5 linked regions of the Mus musculus genome follow. The protein of the gene in region 3 purifies or fractionates together with the protein of the main gene of each other region. This does not show direct contact. Links are inferred from orthologs where the notes say so. Each region holds a gene or a part of one and is shown on either strand. Other genes may lie near its edges.

Region 1 (3,512 bases), on a different chromosome or scaffold from region 3:
CACTCGGGGAGACAACGAGAAGGTCCAGCGGGAGCTTAGCCACCTGCAGTCCGAGAACGATGCTGCGAAGGACGAGGTGAAGGAAGTGCTGCAGGCCCTAGAGGAGCTGGCGGTCAACTACGACCAGAAGTCCCAGGAGGTGGAGGAGAAGAGCCAGCAGAACCAGCTGCTGGTGGACGAGCTGTCCCAGAAAGTGGTGAGTGGCCGGCGAGGGGCCCGGGGGCCCTCACAGCGCCTCTGCCTCCCTCCACTGCTGTCTGACGTTGCCCCCTGCGCTGTTGCTGCTGCGTGTGTCGAGACATCCTCCCCCGCCCGCCCTGCCTCTGCAATCTGCCCTTCTCTCTTCCAGAGGCTTCTGCAGGGTCTGTGTTCTCCCCATAGCAGCCCTCAGAGTCTTACATGACATGCGAGGCTCTGCTCAAGCTGGGAAGGGGAGCAGGAGGCTGGTAATGGTAATGACCTTAGGGGCTGTCCCTAGGCCACCATGCTGTCCCTGGAGTCCGAGCTACAGCGGCTCCAGGAGGTCAGTGGACACCAGCGAAAGCGGATCGCTGAGGTGCTGAATGGGCTGATGAGGGACCTGAGTGAGTTCAGTGTCATCGTGGGCAACGGCGAGATTAAGCTGGTGAGTGGGACGGAGGGCGGTGCCATCCAGGTGACATTAGCAGGGTCTAGAGGTGACAGAGGGTAGAACTGACATGCAAATCTGTGTGTAAGAACGTGACCTATTGGGATCGCCGGGCAGGACCAGATTACCCACATAAGAAAGTCCCTCGGGGTGCCGAGGTGAGCAGCTGTGGTCCCCGCCCTTCTGTAGGGTGAGACAGGCTTCAAGTCAGGGGTTCGAGACTAGCAAGGATGATGAAGCAAACAAAGACAAGACTCAGTGGTTTTCAAGGCAGACGGGAGAACTATCAGCATCTGAATGTGAATAGAGGCTTTGAAGTGAGATGCTAGTTAGTAGGAGCCGTGTCTCAGTCAGGGTTACCGCTGCTGTGGTGAAACCCTGTAACCAAAGCAACCTGAGGGGGGAAGGGTCTGTTACGGATCTCAGTCCACTGAGGGAACCTGGAAGCAGGAGCTGAAGCAGAGGCCATGGAGGGGCGCTGCTTACTGGCTTGCTCAGCCTGCTTTCTTATAGCGCCCAGAACCACCAACCCAACCGTAGGCTGGACCCTCCTGCATTGATCACTATTTGAAAAAAAAAAAAAATGTCCTGCAGGCTTGCTGACAGTCTGGTATTATGAGGGCATTTTCCCAATTGAGGCTCCGTCCTCTCAGATGATGCTGGCGTGTGTCAAGCTGACACAGAACTAGCCAGCACAAACTGCTCGAAGGTGTTGATGAGTTCCCAGCTTCCTTGAGTACCCGAGAAGGAGAGCGAGTCAGATGGGGAGGGGGAGGGATGCAGGTAAGGGCTTCCCGCCTCAGAGAAGCAGCTCTCCCTCCTCTGCCCACCCTCAGCCCGTGGAGATCAGTGGGGCCATCGAGGAGGAGTTCACGGTGGCCCGGCTCTACATCAGCAAGATCAAGTCGGAGGTGAAGTCCGTGGTTAAGCGATGTCGGCAGCTGGAGAACCTCCAGGTGGAGTGTCATCGCAAGATGGAGGTGACCGGTAGGGAGCTGTCATCTTGCCAACTGCTCATCTCACAGGTGAGCGTCTGAGGATGGGAGCCATAGCATGAGAACAGCTGTTCTGGGGTGATGGATAAACTCCCAACAATGGAGATCAAGGTCTGAAGAACTAGGGGGACAGGGAAGAGGATCCAGGCATGAAGTTTAGGGGGCATTGACCTTTGACCCCATTGCCTAAAGGAAGGGTCTCTATAGGATCATGGCCTTTAACCTCACAGAGGCTATGAGGGAAGGCGTGGGAGGATAGCTGCAGTTTATAGTGAAAGATCATTTATACCTCTGTCTCCTTGATGCCATCCACCCCTCTCCTCCCCCACCAGCATGAGGCCAAGATCCGTTCACTCACGGAGTACATGCAGACTGTGGAGTTGAAGAAACGGCACCTGGAAGAGTCCTACGACTCCCTGAGCGATGAGCTTGCCAGGCTCCAGGCGCACGGTGAGGCTCCTTGGATCTGAGGTCCCAGAGGGACCCCTAGGACAGTCACACACACTGGAGGAAATGGCCGGACAGCTCCTCACTTAGCATCAGCTTGAGTCCTGGGTTGTCGGCTCACGTGCTTCTCCTCATGTAGCCTGGCCTCTGCACGTCGCTCATTTTACTCGAATCCTAGACCCTCTGTTCTTCCTCACCCCTGACAAGGCAAATTGGACTGTCCCAAACCAGAACGTCCCTATGCGCCCATCCCCTGGGACCTGAGCTGGTGTCATGGAAGCTGTCTTCCTCCCTTTCACTTAGAAACTGTACACGAGGTAGCTCTGAAAGACAAGGAGCCAGACACACAGGACGCGGAGGAGGTGAAGGTGAGCTGGGGAGGTGTGGAATGGCTGTCTGGCAGGGCAGGGGCTGTGCTGACTGTCAGCCTAGGGGTCTGGCTCTGAGCACGGGGTTGTGCTCTCTGCAGAAGGCCCTGGAACTACAGATGGAGAATCACCGTGAGGCCCATCACCGGCAGCTGGCCCGCCTCCGGGATGAGATTAATGAGAAACAGAAAACCATTGATGAGCTGAAAGAGTAAGGGGCGGGGCTTAGAGGTGGCTCCAGTGTGTCTGTCAGTCCCCTCATCTTGTTGTGGCCACTCCAGCGATCCTTCTGGATCTTTAATGTCCTCAACAGTGACACGCCTTGAGGCCCAAACTTGAGAGACACGAGAAGGGCTGGAGAGGTGGCTCTGTAGTTTGAGAGCACTGGCTTGCTTTTCCAGAGAACCTGAGTTTGATTCCTAGCAACCACGTGGTGGCTCGCAACCGTCTGTAACTCCAGTCCCAGGGGATCTGACTGCCTCTTCTGGCCTCCTTGGGTACCAGGCACACAGACATACTCGCAAGCAAAACACCCATACACATAAAAAATTAATTAAAAGACACAAGTAGTTAGGATTAGACCTGTCCTTGGAACTTTTATGATTGCAGTACTCGGGGTCCCATGTTGCCATGAAAGTGGTAGCCGACGTGTATCCCCGATAGAGCCAGTGTGTATCCCTGATATCTGAAGTCGGGTGCATCAGGGCTGGTGTGAGGGGCGGGGCTTCCTCCCCCCCCCCCCCATTGAGTGTCTCTTTATGTCCCACCCTCCCCAGCCTGAACCAGAAGCTCCAGTTAGAGCTGGAGAAGCTTCAGGCCGACTATGAGAGGCTGAAGAATGAAGAGAACGAGAAGAGCGCCAAGCTCCAGGAGCTGACGTGAGTGACACACCTACCAGCAGACATGTGCAGATGCGGGATGCATGGGGGGCCTCTGTGGGGAGAGTCACAGGATGCAAGCATGAAAGGGTGGAGAGAGGGAAAGACACCAGCAAAAAGAATTGCCAGGCCAGCTGTGGTGGTGCACGCCTTCAATCCCAGCACTTGGGAGGCAAGGTAGGCGGATTTCTGAGTT
Region 2 (3,512 bases), on a different chromosome or scaffold from region 3:
CTAAGTGACCAGCAGGAAAAGCTACAATTATCAGCTGTGACTCCCCATCATGGAGGCCCTTGCTAAACGTGAGTTGGGTTGGTGACTGAGATTTGCCTCCCGATACTGCTCCCCGTTCTATCCCTCCCATAATGCAACAGCACAGATACACTGGCAGCCTTTGCCATTGGTCCAGCATGGAAGGAGGCTCTCTGAGACTACCGTGATCTGTAAGTGAGAGTCATCAATGAAATTAGCTAAGGGCATCTAGTGTCTGGAACCTAAAAATAATCCCAAAGCATGCAATTAGGTATTTAAAAATCCTCTCATCATACTTAGGATTTCCGGCAGGAAGGACCTTTAATGGCAAAGCACAGACACGCTTTGAGTTCACTAATGTGTTCCTCAGCTCAGTGTAAGATCTTAGCATAAAAATATCTTTTCTTATTGTTATCAGCAGGAGGTGCCAACGTCCCACAAATCCACTCCATGAGGTCCTGCGAGCCTTTAATCAGCCCCATGTCAGAACTACACTGCTCAACAGCAACATGTGGCTCTAAACATTAACCGTCAAGCACAGACCAGCCTAGCCGTGACTTAAAAGCTTAACCTGGCAGGGCCTGAAACCGCTGCCTTGCAGCTGCCCTAAGGCTACATAAGATTGGGAATTTCTGGTATATAGTCCCCTCTCCTGGATAAAAGTGGTTAGTGATACAGCACACTGGATGTAAATGAATAAAGACTTGACAGTTGGTGCTACAGCAGTGATCTTGCTACGAGGCAAAAGCGTAAAGATATGAAAATGAAAGTAGCTAAGGATGGGCAGAGAGGAAACACAACAGTCGGGTCCTGTGGATTGTGGAGCCACTGCAATGAAACCAAATTGGGTTCTCTAACTTTAATAAGCCACGAGTCATCTTGTTAAAACACAGAGTCCGCTTCAGTATGTCTGAGGTCAGCCTGGGGTCTAAATTGCTAATTAGCCCCAGGTGATGCAGATGACCCTGAGTAACAAGGCCTAGCCTCCTCCTGTTACACATAATTAAGTGTGGTTTACTCTTTCAGCCCCTGCTAGCTGCCTATGACTTTCAGCTGGAAGCTTTCTCAATTCGTACTGCTTGGCTGGAGAATTCTCACTGCATTGGGCTGGGGGGGTGGGGAAGGGTGGGGACTGAGACCTGGCCTGCAGCTTCTCCCAGCTGAGCCCCAGTGTGAGAGCATTGCAGGTAAGGCTAAAGAAAAAAAAAAACAAGCCACACAAAACCAACCAAGACTGGAAGATGCCCCCCAGATCTGAAAGGCAAACTGTTCCTCTCCATCCCCTCCCCCAGCCCCTGCTTCATGCGCCAGCTCTCCTTTTTCAGCATGCGCCAGGTGCAGAGTACAGCCCTGAGCCTCAGGTGCTGCAGAGCTTGACTCGGATCACACCAGTCAGGGTAGGAACAGAGAACACAAGTCTGGCTTACAGTCTTCACATCGTTGGTGCCAATAATTCCGCCTATCTCCCCCAGGTCCTTGAGAAGCAGGTTCAGGATCTCTGTGGCCCTCTTTTTCTGGTGGTTACTAAGCTCTTGCAGCTGACTCAGCTCTCGCTGGGTGGTTGTCAGTGTCGTCTGGAAAACAAAGTCAGCCACAGGTTACCAAGGTGGCCCATGAATTTCCACCTGTGACCTCCAGAGCTCAACAGCCCATGCCAGACCCAGCTCTTTAATCACTCCTCTGATCTCAGTGGAAAAGCACTCTGAAGGCTGACTGCTGCGTAGCACTTGGTTCTGATACAGAAACTTAATTCAGAGATGTTACCTTGTAAAACCAGCTATGTATTATTACTAGATATGTATTATTATTATTATTATTGGTTATATCGACGCTAGCAAAGTGAGTTACTGTAAATGAATTCAGGGCCCAGAGCAGGGCTCACTGGGTCAAGGTAAGAACTGACTCCAGCAAACTGTCCTCTGACCTCCACCCAGGTACCATGGTACGTGAACATAAAAATAAGTAAATTGTAGTAAGGCCTTTTAAATAAATAAGAGGTTGGAGAGAGAGCTCCGTCTGTAAGGTGCTTGGGGCACAAGCATAAGGACCTAGGTTTGAATCCTGGAAGCTCTATCTGGGTCTGGTGGTGCGCCATTGTTATCCCAGGACTGGAAGGATTCCTCTGGCCATTGGACAACAATCTACCATACTCAGTGAGTTCCAAAACAATGAGACTGTCTCAAAATAAAAAGACAGAGCACACTTTAAAGAAGGATGCTGAGGGCTGACTTGGTCTCTACCTGTACACACTGGCGCAAAAAGAGGCCCTACGTTTATAGGATTTAACTACATTTTCTAACTTACCAAAGGTTGTTTCTTCCCCCTTGTTCTATTTCAGGTTCCCCAGCTCCATGCTCAAACAAAAATCTCCTCCCTGGGTCCCATCCAAATACCCTGAGTAATGGGGTCTGGAATCAATAGCCCAGACAAACACTAATGAGGATAGGTAACAACTTAGAACATCTTCTAGTCCTCAGGGAAGCCAAATTAAATACTATAATTCTTCAGAATTACTCAGGTTCCATAGCAGAGCTTCTTCATAGCAGCAAAAGCTCGATTTTCTCACCAAACTTCATCAAATTAACCTCTTTTCTATCCCCCCACCCCGATTGTTAGCAGGAGAAGCAATGCCTTCTTCAGGCGCAGCACTGGAATCGTAGCTCTTCTAGCATCTTGGTACCAACAGCCTGTGCTGCAGAAGGAAGTCCTCTCCTCCCCGGGCCTTGCAAGTTAATTCAAAGGCATTTTCAGTGAGTCGCTACCACTTACTAAAAATAGTATATTAAAGCAGTCTGATAATAGTTGTTCTGACACAAAACGAGAAGCGTACTATAGAAAATCTTGCCTTGCTTTCAGATGTACAACACAGAAGGGACACGCTGTAGGAACCCAGGGGGACACTGAGTAGAGGCAGAGTGGCAGTCCTCTCTCAGTGAGTCTGCAGGGACTTACAGTCCATCAGCACTGCCAACTATTTGTTTCACCTTATTTAATACCACAGACATAGCAGCCCTGTCCCATGGAAACCATTAGGAAGGCCTTTCTTCCCCGATGCAGTAGGATGTGGGGAGTAAATAGTACTTCCTGTCCGCTCCACTGCCAGCAGCCAGTGCTTTCCTCCCCACCCTGCTCTGAGTGCCCGGGACTGATGTTTCTATTAAGGTAGTATGGCACAGTCCAGGACACCAGGTCCTTCAGGCAGAGCCACCAAGGACACCAGGCTACAGCAACTCAATTTCTCTGTGAGCCATCTCCAGGCAGCAAAGGGCATGGCATCCGCCACATCACCAAATGCTCACCGGCCACAGCAGACTACCTGTCACTAGCCCACCAAGTAAAACCCACAACAGCTGTCTCTCAGGGAGGAACCAGAAATACAGCGATCCCTCGGCTGGAAGCCAGTGAACAGGGCCAGCTTACCTCTGTCCTTCCGACTAGGACAAGAGGGTGGGAAGTCGGGGAACACTGTCATTCAGCAGGATGTAAACTGTGGA
Region 3 (4,113 bases):
CAGGGTTGATTAGCTTGGTCTTTCCTCCTCCCCAACACAGCAGGGGTGCTCCTGTCTCAAGATTTAATGGAGTGTTCTACGCTGGTTCCGTGGTCCTGTTCTTTCCTGTGTGTGTCAGCACAATTTTCTGACCTTGGAGTTTGGGTCATGTGCCACTCCCTCACCACTCTGCCTGCAATTTTACTGTTTTCAACAAGTCAGATTCTGTTTGAGCTTGTTTTTTCTCATTGGAATGGGAGCTGGCCAGCAGACACCATCTGCCACTTTATGTACCTGGGTCTTCCTGTGAGAACCTTGGGAACTTAGTGGATATCAGTTGAAGGGGCAAAAGAACGAGATGATAAAGCTTGAACAAAGCAATGGCAGGGACAGATGAAACAAAAAAGCCCTTTGCTTGCTGAAGAAGTGTGTGCATATACAGGACTCGGAGGGGCAGTGATTGACCCATGGGAAAGAAATGGGCTCCCGCTTAGCCTACTCTTTTCTTTCCAACACCACCTGGGCAGGGGCCGTCATATGCTTTGTTCAGATGTATGGCAGTGGCTGAAGAGCCGGCGACACCCAACATCCAAGCAGCAGTTTGTGTGCTGGGGCAAGTGAAGCCTGCAGTAAAGACTGAACCCACAGCCTCTCCTTAGGCCAACATGGGCTGCTGCGCTCCCCACGGGAGCTGCCCCTTTATTGGCCAGCCTTTGAATTTTCTAGGAGGTCAAAGTAACTGGATCTGCTTGTTAAGATCAAAAGCACCTGCCTCCCTGATGTTGGTAGGTATAAGTGCAGGGTGGAGGACCGCAGCAGGTTCTGGGCAATACCATCAGAAGAGGGAAGCGTTTCCCAAGGTGGGGAGGCTGTGGGCATTCGCAACCCCTCCCCGTTAGTAATACAACCGCGCCATTCTGGAAACGTCTAAAGGCACCTGGAGGGTTCCCAAGCCGGTGGCAGGCAAGCTCGGCCTTGCCACTGACTCAGCGTCCCCTCCAACCCGCTGCTGAGTCAGGCCTGCAGTTGGGGTGCCAGGCGGCTGTGCGAGGCTCAGGAGCAACCTGAGCTGGCAAGCCTGCCCTTTGGGCCAGGCTGGAGGTCGAGCGAGAGCTGCGGCCAGGAGCGAGCCGCAGAGGGTGGGTCCTGGCCGCCTGGCGATCTTCCCGTCCTCCACGGGTGGAGGCGCGGCGAGGGAAGCCTCCCGGTCTGAGGCCACCACACACAGATTAGAGAGGCTCCTGGAGAGCTCCGGGCTGCGGACCCCAGCCTCAGTTTCCCCTGAGCCCCGCCCGGCGGCGCGAGGGCGGGTGACGTCACGGCGCACAGCATTGTGGGGCGGGCGCGGCGCCGGCGACGCCATTTTCGGCGGCGGAGGGTGGCGCGAGGCTGCGGAGCGCGGGTCAGGGTGAGGATGCTGCGGGGCGGCTGCGGAGGCGCCGCTTGCTGCTGAGGCGGCTGGGCTCTGCGCGGCCTCGGCCTGTGACAGCGCGACGAGCGCGACTCTCCCGATCGGACGGTGAGTGCGCGGCCTGGTCCCCGCCCCGCCCCGGGCTCCGCGCGGCTGGTGCGCAGTGCTCCAGACGCGGCCGCGACCCCTTCCCGCCTGCATCCTCCGGGCTGAGGCTTCTGGACCTTTCCGTCCACCGCCGCATCTGCACCCGGCCCTTCCAGGCTGCGATTTTGCTCCTCCGCCCGAACCCAGTCCCCTCCCTGGCCTTTCCATCCCTGTCTGCACCCTGGGGTTCCCTCTCCTCTCCGCTCCGTCCGCGCCCCTCCGTGCTCCGGTCTCTTGTCACCTCTGCCTGCGCGCCAGTAGTCTGCGGTCCTTGTCCTCTCTCAGCCTGTGCACATCCAGCAGGGGTTTCTGTCCTTTCTCCGCCTGCGCCTTTCTAGGCTCGGGTCTCTTGTCACCTCTCTGCGCTCCTCCAATCTGCGGTCCTTGTCCCTGTCTACCTGCGCCCCTGCTTTGGGTCCCTTCCCTGTCACTGGCTGCGCCCCTCCTGGCTGGGGTCTTTGTCGTCATCTCTCTGCCTGTACATCCAGGCTGAGGCTCTTCTCCCTTCCCTTCCTGTTCTGGTTCGGGTCCTGTCCTATCTCTGCCTGTCCCTCTCTGAGTTGAGGTCCTTGTCCCTTCTTCGTCCGTGACCCTCTAGGTTTGGGGCTCAGCTCTCTCTGCCTGCACTCTAGACTTCTGTTCCTGCCCCTTCTCTTCCACTCCCCTCCTGTGTCCCTCAGGCTTCTGTCCCATCTGTGTTCAGGGCCCCGCCCTGACTCGGGCCTCGGGGCGGGGGCGGCCTTCCAATGGCAGCTGTGGGCTTAAGGGACCCAAAGCCTGTCTGCTGAGGTCCTGAAGAGGTGGTGGTGGTGGTAGTGTGTGTGTTGGGGGTCAGCCGACTGGCTTTGTCTCAGGCCTCCCCGCCCTTCTAGCCCCCACCTCTCCCCGGCACCGCCCTGGGTGGCGTGCTGTCATGCTGTGGTCCATGGCCAGTGGCCAGCCAGTCTCTTTCTTTCAGTGGCCGGGTGTGGAATCTCCCTGTGACCTGAATGTGCCCGGCCTGGAGTGCTTTTCCTTGTTACATGTGGAGCCCCCTTCCCGTAAAAAAAAATTAAGGTGTTAATAAAGTAATATTAATATGTGACCGAGTGGATGGCATTATAATGAAGTTTGCAGGCCGTTTCCAGCTGTGTTGTGTTGGAATTGCTACTACCTGCTACTGTTATGTTATTGGTGATCTGGTGTACTTGCAAAAATGATGTCTTTAAAAAGCATGAGAACAAGAAATTTATATACCATTTAAACTGCTATGTTTTTGATTCTTTGCATTACTTAAATTCCAAGGCTCTTTATACGGTATGACAAAGCCTTAGGTCAGAATTAGCCTGGAATGCTTTGTAATAGGACAGTGAAACCCCATTAGGAAACTCGATCAACCTTGAGTCTCCTAAGCATGCCATAGTTAGGGATCTTCTACATGGAGGCCTATAGGCCTCAGTTGTGGTAGGAAATTTGACTTACTGTTCTTTGCAGTAAGTATTTGTAAGAATGCAATGATTCTATTTAAAATTCCACAGTGTGCGGTATGTGGGAGGGCGGGCCCCTTCTAGATCATTAAAGAATGCAGCATGTTGCAAGTCCAGCCTGATGCTCTGGTGGAACCAAGAGGGGTGGGACCTGGTGGTGACCGCTCTGTAGCACCAGCATTGTGAGAGCGTGTGTGGTGAACACATAGCAGGAAGTGACAGTATATGCCTATAACCCGGACACACTTGGGAGCCACAACTGCATAGCAAAATCTCAAAACAAAAATCCAAAGCAAGAAAAGCATAGACTTGCATGGAATCTGGACAGGGATTTTTTTCCAAGTGCAGAGATTGAAGAGGTGAGGTCTACACAGCTTAGCTATTCTACAGCAAAGTCTCCAGGCTGAAGAGGGCACTCAGTGCTAGGGTAGTAGCCTACATTCAAAAGATCCTGCTTCCTCAGTGCAAGAACAAACAAACCAAACATTACCCACAACCTAAATGTTTACATTAAGAAAGATTAATCCGGGCTGGAGGGATGGCTCAGCGGTTAAGAGCACTGACAGTTCTTCCAGAGGTCATGAGTTCAAATCCTAGCAACCACATGGTGGCTCACAACCATCTGTAATAGGGTTCGATGCCCTCTTCTGGTTTGTCTGAAGACAGCCACAGTGTACTCATATACATAAAATAAGTAAATAATTCTTTTAAAAAAAGATGAATCCATTCTTGGGACTGGAGGGATGGCTTAGTTGTTAAGAGTAATTATTGTCCTTTTAGAGGGACCTGGGTTTGATTCTTAGCACCCAGAAACAGCTCATAATTGTCCCTAACTACAATTCCAGGTAATCTGAGACCCTCTTCTGACCTCTGTGGTGCCCATGAACACCATGCAGGTGTACATGTAAACACTAACTCTTAACAACCAAAAGAAAACATTTTTAAGCATTTTTTTCAGGTTGGGAAAAGTGAAAATCTCTAAAGATCCATAAACAATCCCTAGAAATGGTTGACTTAAAAGAACTAGAAAGAAAACCTGAAGTGACTTTTTTGAAGCCAGAAGTTCTTAATTGAGTGACTGTCAGAAAGCAGATTATGCAACAAGAAAGT
Region 4 (4,188 bases), on a different chromosome or scaffold from region 3:
GGAAAGAACATTATTATAAAGCCACAGGAAACACTGGGGACACTAAGAAGATATTTAATATATCTCATCCCTATTTTAGGAATTGATTTCTTACATGTATTATCTGTATTATATGCTTTTGTCTCTGTGTTCAAGTTTTAGTGAATTTTAAAAGCCTATTTGGTGACTTATACAGGGATTTAAGGAACGAAATGAAAGTCTCCATGTCCAAGAAATGTTTTATTAAAATTGGTTCTGAGGATAACAGGAAAAATTTTGGACAGAATATTAAAAGCTAAACTTAGAAGAAAAGCAGACTCCTTAATTATTTTCTATCTGAACAGTGATTATGATTACCATTCAGTTGACATTATAAACAAACACATTTAAGTCATTTCATCATCTACCCTAAGTTTCTATTCATCACTTAAACTTATTTGTATTACTTACAGAAATTTTGAAACAGAAATTATGGCAACTTTTTCCAAAGGAAAGGACCTAAAATAAATGTGTTTTCTGTAGTGGTCTATCTTTTGTTTCATATATTATGGCCACTACCCTCTTGTCTCAGGCTCACCAGTGCTATGATTACAAGTATGTAAGCCACCACAACTTAATATATTTTGTAAATCCTGAAATCTGGCATTCCAAGCAAAACAAATCTTAGCAATATTTACAATTTTTTTAAAACAAGCACAAAAACTCAGAGAATTAAGACCATCTTAATACAAGTGACAAATGAAGTATAGCTAAAGCTGCATAATCATAGATGGGAAGGAATAAGTAGCCTCAAATTTGGGGACTAATAGTGGAGTTGAAACCCGGTAAGGAGTGCAGGCACAACATACACCCAACCACCTTCCACTCTATCCTCTGTGCACTAAAGAACAGGATTCCTATGCTCAATTAACATCCCTTCTTTACTACAAGAGCACCTTGAGGACTTACTAACAGAGAACTGGCTGGGCAGTGGTGGCACAGGCCTTGAATCCCGACTCTCAGGAGGCAGAGGCAGGCGGATTTCTGAGTTCAAGACCAGCCTGGTCCAGTTCCAGGACAGCTAGGACTATACAGAGAAATCCTGTCTCGAAAAAGAAAAAGAAAAAAACAAAACGAAACAAAACACCCCCCAAAGAACTGGCCTGATAGTCTTCACACAGCAGTAATAGTTTTTTTTCTACCAAAACCCTACCGGGAGGATACACTACTAACACATTCAATTTCCGAAAACTCAACTTTGAAAACCTTCACATTAACACACCCTCTAGAGAACTTCAGTACTATCTTCAGGCTAAAATGTTTTCACTCATCAATGGCCAGTCTCCTGTGACCTCTCTGCCCTATTTCTAAATTAAGTAGCTCAAACAATATACTAAATATAGATTACTACTCAAGAACAAACAATTTCGAGTAACAACTGACATTAACAATTGAATCCTAATAGCAATACCCATGGCATCATCACTAATGATGAATTTACTTGTTAGTTTAGCTCGATGTTCTGTATACTGAGGCAATCTTATCCAGTCACTTTTAATCTTGAGCTCAAAATGCTGTTTTCAGAGAACCTGCAATGCTAGATATAAAAAACCCTTTCAAGTTTCTCAAATAATAATCAATCAGCTCAGTTACATTTTCCACTACAAAGGAGTATTGCTTCCTCTCAGATTACCATAATCAATTTCTGTCAAGATAGACTGTATTAACATGAATCTAATAATGGTGATTCAAGCCCCATTGTAAGGTCTTTACAACACTATGTCTCGGCTATAGCTATCTTTCCTACAATGTTAAAACACGGTAAAGAATGAAATTCTAGATCTTTCTGACACTTATTTGGCCCAATCTAAATCCACTTATGACATTAGAGAGAACTCTAATTTCAAAGAAAAGCCACTAGTTCTTTTTACAGGCTCCAATTTCCCACTTATTACATGAAAAGTTGAGAGGGAGAACATTTAAGAAACACAAACACACACACACACACGGATGAGCGTGCACTAAACTAGCTCCTGGGATGCAGCCTCCAGAGCCCCAGGTGGGGGAGTGTCCAGAATGAGAAACAAGACACCTCCCAGCTGCCAAGCTTAGTACTGGGGTGGGGGTGATCCTCGAATCGTCGCGGAGTCTCCTGAACACTGCTCCTTCCTCCCTGGTCGTCTGAACCCGCAAACCCGGCTCGGGAGAGCGAGCACTCCCTGCTCCCTCTGGGCTTTGCGACCGGCCATGTCCCAGAGCTCACCGTCCTGCCCGACCCCACGTGACATGGGGACAGGGGCCACTCACCGCGATCATCACCGTGTCTTCTCCCTGGAATTTGGCGACGTACTTATCGCCGCGGTTCACTTCAGATTCGTTGAGAGGTCTGAAGCGACACATCACTTTGATGTTGCACTCCGCCGGGTCCGCCATCTTTCTGGAAGCCGGGACCGCAGGCCGGGCGCCTCTTCAAGCCGCTCAGTCTTGGGGTAAGCGAGGGGAGCCAAGAGGCAGGGGTCGCGAGGACCGGAAGGTCCGGGCTCCGCAGCGCCGTGCACCCCGGGCAGCTAGACCGAAGCGCTGTCGCCGGCAGCCTGCGCCCGAAGTTCACTTCCGCTCCATCATGGCGGCCAAGGCGGCGGCGCCCACAGAGCCTCGATGCTCCTCGGCGTCTCCCTCACCGGCCTCCACAGGCTGCGGGGACTGGCGAGCGGCTCCTTCTTTTCTTTTCGGGAAGGACAGCCGAGGCCTAGGGCTCGGCCCACTATCCTGTCCCGGCAGCTCGCCGGCTTCCCGGCCAGCTGACGCGCGCACCCTCCAAAGGCCTTAGTGCCCAGGCCGGCGGCAAACTGGGCGGGCGGGAGGAACACTGCGCAGGCGCGGGGCGATGCCCAGCAGCCAATCCTTGCCCGCGCCGGGCCGCAGGCTTTGCCTGGCTCCACCTCAGCTGCAGGTTTGGGGCTTCAGATCGAGTTTTCCTGCAAGTTGAGTAGCGCCAAGGCCGCTGCAGAATTCCTCAGAGCATCGGAAGGTTTACTTATCTTTTTCTTTGGAGGAGTTTGTTTTAACCACTTAATGGTGGTGTTCAATTTTGTATAAGGCCAGATCCCTAAAAAAAAAAAAAAAGGGGCTTTCATTTTGGCCTTAGAGAAAAAAAAAAGAAAGATTACTGATGCAACCTTGGGTTTTATTTTGTTTCTGTTTTAAATCGCTTTGCCAAAACCGGGGAGATTTGAGTTAAGGGTGGGGCATGGCCGGGGTGCAGCAGTAATGCACCCCGCCCTGCGAGCCTGGGAGCTTTATTCAGACAAAGCAGAGAAAGGGGAAGCTTCTTTCAAGCAATGAAAAAGTTTCCCAAGCGATACGGAACAGCTAGGTGGGATGGAAGAAGAACCTACCCTCATGTGTCTCCTCTAGCTGCCCAGGGCTTGACATCACACAGGTGAGCCACAGGAGCCCAAAGGTATTTGGTAAATCTGAGGTCCCACTTCTCCGACCAATGGGAAACTTCACTTAGCTGCAACACCAAAGGAATGGTGTTGCAGCACCAGATCCTTACGAGTGTCTTTAAAGGCCTAGATCACCTGTTCACAACCTGTGGGTCACAACCTCTTTGGGAATCGCATATCAGATTTTTTTATATTACTATTCATAACAGTAGCAAAATTACAGTTACGAAATAGCAGCGAAATAATTTCATGCTTGGGGATCACCATAACATGAAGCATATTAATGGTCTCAGCATTCGGAGGGTTAAAGACCACTGACCTAGATTAATACGTGCGGGTGACATATCTGAGAAAACCACTCCTGGGGCTAGAGTTGGAACTCTGGTAGTGTGTTTGCTTAGAAAGCAGGAGGCCCTGGCTTCAACCACCCCCTGCACTTCAAAAATAGATGACTTAGCATTCCCTTTTCAGAAGATAAATACCACAAAAACTCTATGTGGAAATGGCTCTGAGGTTCTGCAAGGAAAAACTTCAGTGACGATAAGAAACCTTTCTTCTGGCTTCCAGACTTTGCTGGGTAAATGAATGGTGGGACTATGGACACCTCCCTGACCCCTGAATTTGCTGGAACATTCTAGCACCTCTAGAAACAAATAGATCCAGCTTGATTGGCTTTCTGCAATGGAGAAGAGCACAATTGCAGGGGAACAGTGGAGAATCTTAGAAATAAAGAAAACAGGGGCATTATCACAGGCCTTGGAAGTGTGGACTTTGGATAGAA
Region 5 (4,162 bases), on a different chromosome or scaffold from region 3:
TCTTTGGGAGGAGTGCTGGGGCGTGGTCTAGAGGTGGGGACAGGTCAGGAAACAAAGGACAGAGAGGAGAGTTTCCGTTACAGTTTGCTTTGACCCTGTCTCGGTAGGTCGGTTGGTCTGCGCACAGGTCACCGTACCTCTCCTCACAGCTGTTGAAGGTCTTCCTGTAGCGTCAAGTCCAAATCCTCTGTCCTGCCGTGTCCAGGCACCTCAGTCTACCTCTGTGGGCTTCTTGCCCAAACTTTCCTAAACAATGCTCTCTCTCCACAGGCCATACTCCACCCAGCCTGGAGGGCTGTCCGCCTTCCTCACCCTCTCCCCAAGCTGGCCCACCAGCACCCCATCCTCTCTCAAACACGCCCTGGACATCGCTGGCGACTCTTCCAACAGTGGCCGAAATAACTGTTGCAGGGCTGTTGAGGTTTGTGTTGTGGGTGTCTCCCTAATGAGGCCACCCTGCCCTCCAGGGCTGATGACTCTCAGTTGTTTGACCTGAGAAGGCATTTCACTTTCCTCAGCTGCAACACAGTGTGCTCACCGAAGCCCACCGTGACTCTGTCAGCCCTCTCCTCTAGAATAGGGCAGTGTGTGTGTGTGTGTGTGTGTGTGTCTGTTTGTCCATCCAGATTACAGGAGACATACAAGGAAAAGGGACAGACTCCAGAGAACCCTGCAGAGAACCCCAGAAAGGGCCCTTCTTTTGACTCTCCATATTCCTAAAGGGTACTTAGCATCTTCTTTATCGCGCTACAAGGCTATAAATAAGCGACAAAAGGTTTCTACGGTAAATCAGGAGTCCCTGGAGACAAAAGTCCCTTTCCAAACCCCCAGACTGGAGCTGGAGAACAAGTACAGCCACCCTAGGCTTTTACCAAACTCACTGGGATGAGTTGTGTCCCTGCAACCTTTCCTGAGCCCACAAGCTTTGCTCATCACCTCCACTCGGCAGAGGAGGTCACCGAGGTGCTTGGAGGTGACACCGCTTGGATGAAGTGGCCGGGTGCTGGAGCTCTGAGGCCCTAGGATCTGCAGTAGGACAAGTCCTTAGGTTCGGAAACCAAGGAGCGGATCCCCAGGTGCCTTGGGGGGCTTCCAGGTGCAGCGTCCAGGGGCGCGCGCGAGGAGGAGGAGTGGATGCTCCGGGTTGGCCGCGGGCAGGGGGCGCGTCCAGCGGGTCCCTCCCGGTTGCTCCCGGGCCAATCTTCCTCGGCGCGTCCCCGCAGGCGCGCACCCAGGGCTCAGCCTGTGGGCTCGCGCACCCGCGGAGCGGGGAGCGTGCGCGCGCGCTCTCCCTCCCCGCCCCGCCCGCCGCCACCCCGCCCCCGGCCGGGTACCCTCGCCGGACCCGAGAGAGAGCGCCGCCGCCATCTTAGCCGCCGCCGCCTCCAGCGCAGCGCTGCCGACGAGGGGAGGGCGCGCGCGGCCCAGCAGCACGGCGGCTGCCGTTCCCATCCCGGTGCTCGCCGCGCCGCCCAGCCGCCGGCCCCCGGCTGCCCGCGCCCCTCTCGGCGTCCCGCGCGACTCCCTGCTGCTTCCGCGTCGGGCCGGCCGTGGCGCCCCGAGCCCGAGCGATGCTGCGCCGCCCTGCGCCCGCGCTGGCCCCGGCCGTCCGGCTGCTGCTGGCGGGGCTGCTGTGCGGCGGCGGGGTCTGGGCCGCGCGAGGTAAGCGACGGGGCGCGGTGAGCCGGGTGCGGGAGTCAGAACCGAGTGCAAGGTTGGGCCGAATGCAGAAGTCATGCGGGGCCGCGGGGTTCGGGTCGGGGCCGGGTGCGGGAACCGTGCTCGGGTGCAAGGTGGGGGGCTGAGTGCGAGGGTCATGCGGGGCGGCGGGGTTATGGGCAAGTGCTGCAGTCCTGTAGGGCCTCTGGGTTCTGGGCCGAGTGCGGGACTCGTGCCAGAGCCCAGGGTTCGGGTCCTAGTGCGCGCATTGTATCAGGCAAGGTTCGGGTCCGAGTGTGGGGATCGTGCCGAGGCCCAGGGTTCGGATACGAGTGCGCGAGTCATATTGGGCAAGGTTGGGTCCGAGTTCGGGCATAGTAACCGGGTGCAAGGAGGTGGGCAGAGTGCAGGAGTCGTGCAGGGCCGCGGAATTTGGGTCCGAGTGTGGGAATTGTGCCAGGGCTGAGGGTTCAGGTCCGAGTGCGCGCGTCGTATTGGGCGAGGCTCGGATCCCGGTGCGCAGATCGTCTCCAGCAAGGTTCGGGGCCCAGATCGTATCAGGTGCACAGGTACAGGACCCAGTGCAGGAATAGTGTCAGCGCACAGGGATCGGTGCCGAGTGAGGTAGTGTTGCTGGGGCGCGGGGTTCCGACCCGACTGTGTGACTGATTGCCTGGGAGCGGGGCTCTGGGCTGAGTGCGGAACATCGAGCCCGCTCGCTACGTGAGATTCAGGTTCAGGCGCTCAGAGAAGAGCTCCGGAGAACCTAGGCGCGCGCTGCAGATGCCTGGGGAAGCCAATTTTGTACCCGGGCGGGGCACCTGGGCCATGACTGCCCTAGTTGTAGCCCCAGGGTGCTTGAGGTGCTGGTCTGGGGAGATCTGGGGACACGCGGTGGGAGTTAGCCCACTTTCCAGTAGCGCATGCAGCCTGGGGGGTGCGCCCCTGGGTGGGATGCAGTGTACGTGTGTTGGATGATCAGCCCAGGGATGCACGCAAGGATTTTGGTGTGTGCTTACATAAGATTCCACTCCTCCGCATCACTTTCCCAAGATCCCGGTTCTCTGCTGCGGCTAGGTGGACACCACGACTTCGCCCCTTTTCGCCTCCTCTCCGCGTCCTTTAAACGCGGTTTCGGAAGTAACAGAGGCGAAAACTCCTCTTCCTTCCCACCCTTTTGCCCAAAGACGAAATTGAGAAGGTGTTTGTGATCACTTTTCATCCACCAGTGTGAACAAAGCGCTCGTCCGCTGCACCTTTACTCAGAGTAGTGTACCGGACTTGTATGACCACCACAGAGACCAGCCAGCCCCGCTAATTCCTTAGGAGTGTGGGAGGCAAATAGGATTTTGCTGTTTTAAATCTTCATCCACTTCATCTAAACATTGTACCTGCCTTCTGATATTGACCGAGCTTGCCACCAAAACTGCTTACGCATTGCAGATAAAGCCTTCTGAATGGAACTTGAAACCGTAAACATTTTTCCTGGTCTTAAAGTAGTCTAGGTAGATAGTCTGTAGAGAGTGCTCGAATCTATTTTCTTCAAGTGTATATTTTGGAAATCAAAAGAGCTTTGTGGGAGGAGGATTGATAGAAGTCTGGGTGAGATGGTCACGTAATAACTTTGCAAGCTTTAAAAAAAGATTGCCTTTTCTGCTTGGCCTGACTTAGGAAAGTTGTGTTCACAAAAAAGGGCAGAAGAGGGCAAAGCATCCTTTGTTCCAGCGTGCCACACAGAGGGTGATAAACTGAAAACTTCTTTTATTCCATCTAGAACATTCTGTCCATTCTTGTCAAATTCAGCTCCTTGCCACTAAGTATCTAATTACCGTGCATTTGATTTTTTTTTTTGAAAAGTTTCAGCAAACCAAGTATGAAATGAGGTTTGAAGCCTGGTCTATTTAAGAGGAAGAAAACTTGGTTTTGCTTCTTTTGGAAAAAAAAACCAGCCCATACATGAAAGGAGGGGAGGGCTGGGTTGGGTATTTTGGAAACAGTTCAAGTAATGTTTAGTTGAGTTGGTAATAGCATCGCCTGCTTGAATTACTGCTTTTAAGGTGTCTTCCTGCATCTACCTACAGTACTGCTCATCTTTTAGTTACTTGGGTAAACCATGGTCAGGCTCACCTGATTACCCTCATTATGGCTGAGAGGAATGTGAAATTTCCAACGTCTTACAAAGTAAAAATGTTTGAACATCAGTTTTTCTTTTGCATTTACCGTTTTTTTTCCAGCTTGCATGGTCATGAATATTCCATGACATGCTAATAAAACAATTTCAGTTTGAAATGTTACAAATGAGTTTTATATGTAAATATGCGGTTTCTGGAGGCACTTTCCCTGGGCTCATTATTCCAGTGAACATCTGAGTCCTCCCTGCAACGTTGGTGCTGGGGACGGAGCCCAGGGCCCGAAGGCTGGACAGGCATCTGCTCCTGAGCCACACTGCCCCTTCAGCATTCCCGTTTGTTTCTTGTTGCAAGATGGAATGGCATAAACTGTT

What was found.
Region 1: the proteins of Klc1 (region 3) and Kif5a purify together in Homo sapiens (co-immunoprecipitation; 7 studies listed by BioGRID and IntAct, counting the BioPlex papers as one, with this or other methods). This does not show direct contact. The link is inferred for Mus musculus from reciprocal best matches to the Homo sapiens genes KLC1 and KIF5A.
Region 2: the proteins of Klc1 (region 3) and Kif5c purify together in Homo sapiens (co-immunoprecipitation; 4 studies listed by BioGRID and IntAct, counting the BioPlex papers as one, with this or other methods). This does not show direct contact. The link is inferred for Mus musculus from reciprocal best matches to the Homo sapiens genes KLC1 and KIF5C.
Region 4: the proteins of Klc1 (region 3) and Kif5b purify together in Homo sapiens (co-immunoprecipitation; 11 studies listed by BioGRID and IntAct, counting the BioPlex papers as one, with this or other methods). This does not show direct contact. The link is inferred for Mus musculus from reciprocal best matches to the Homo sapiens genes KLC1 and KIF5B.
Region 5: the proteins of Klc1 (region 3) and Clstn1 purify together in Homo sapiens (co-immunoprecipitation; 3 studies listed by BioGRID and IntAct, with this or other methods). This does not show direct contact. The link is inferred for Mus musculus from reciprocal best matches to the Homo sapiens genes KLC1 and CLSTN1.

What each region holds. Positions count from the first base shown.
Region 1 is NC_000076.6:127,235,858-127,239,369, reverse strand, and holds part of Kif5a (kinesin heavy chain), read left to right. Parts: coding exon 1-196; intron 197-478; coding exon 479-625; intron 626-1,464; coding exon 1,465-1,653; intron 1,654-1,955; coding exon 1,956-2,073; intron 2,074-2,373; coding exon 2,374-2,438; intron 2,439-2,539; coding exon 2,540-2,649; intron 2,650-3,214; coding exon 3,215-3,316; intron 3,317-3,512. UniProt on the Homo sapiens protein: Microtubule-dependent motor required for slow axonal transport of neurofilament proteins (NFH, NFM and NFL). Can induce formation of neurite-like membrane protrusions in non-neuronal cells in a ZFYVE27-dependent manner.
Region 2 is NC_000068.7:49,730,784-49,734,295, reverse strand, and holds part of Kif5c (kinesin heavy chain), read right to left. Parts: intron 1,593-3,512; coding exon 1,446-1,592; intron 1-1,445. UniProt on the Homo sapiens protein: Microtubule-associated force-producing protein that may play a role in organelle transport. Has ATPase activity. Involved in synaptic transmission. Mediates dendritic trafficking of mRNAs.
Region 3 is NC_000078.6:111,757,545-111,761,657, forward strand, and holds the start of Klc1 (kinesin light chain 1), read left to right. Parts: upstream 1-1,304; 5' UTR 1,305-1,498; intron 1,499-4,113. UniProt on the Homo sapiens protein: Kinesin is a microtubule-associated force-producing protein that may play a role in organelle transport. The light chain may function in coupling of cargo to the heavy chain or in the modulation of its ATPase activity.
Region 4 is NC_000084.6:6,238,717-6,242,904, forward strand, and holds the start of Kif5b (kinesin-1 heavy chain), read right to left. Parts: upstream 2,809-4,188; 5' UTR 2,392-2,808; coding exon 2,266-2,391; intron 1-2,265. UniProt on the Homo sapiens protein: Microtubule-dependent motor required for normal distribution of mitochondria and lysosomes. Can induce formation of neurite-like membrane protrusions in non-neuronal cells in a ZFYVE27-dependent manner.
Region 5 is NC_000070.6:149,585,111-149,589,272, forward strand, and holds the start of Clstn1 (calsyntenin-1 isoform 1 precursor), read left to right. Parts: upstream 1-1,357; 5' UTR 1,358-1,571; coding exon 1,572-1,662; intron 1,663-4,162. UniProt on the Homo sapiens protein: Postsynaptic adhesion molecule that binds to presynaptic neurexins to mediate both excitatory and inhibitory synapse formation.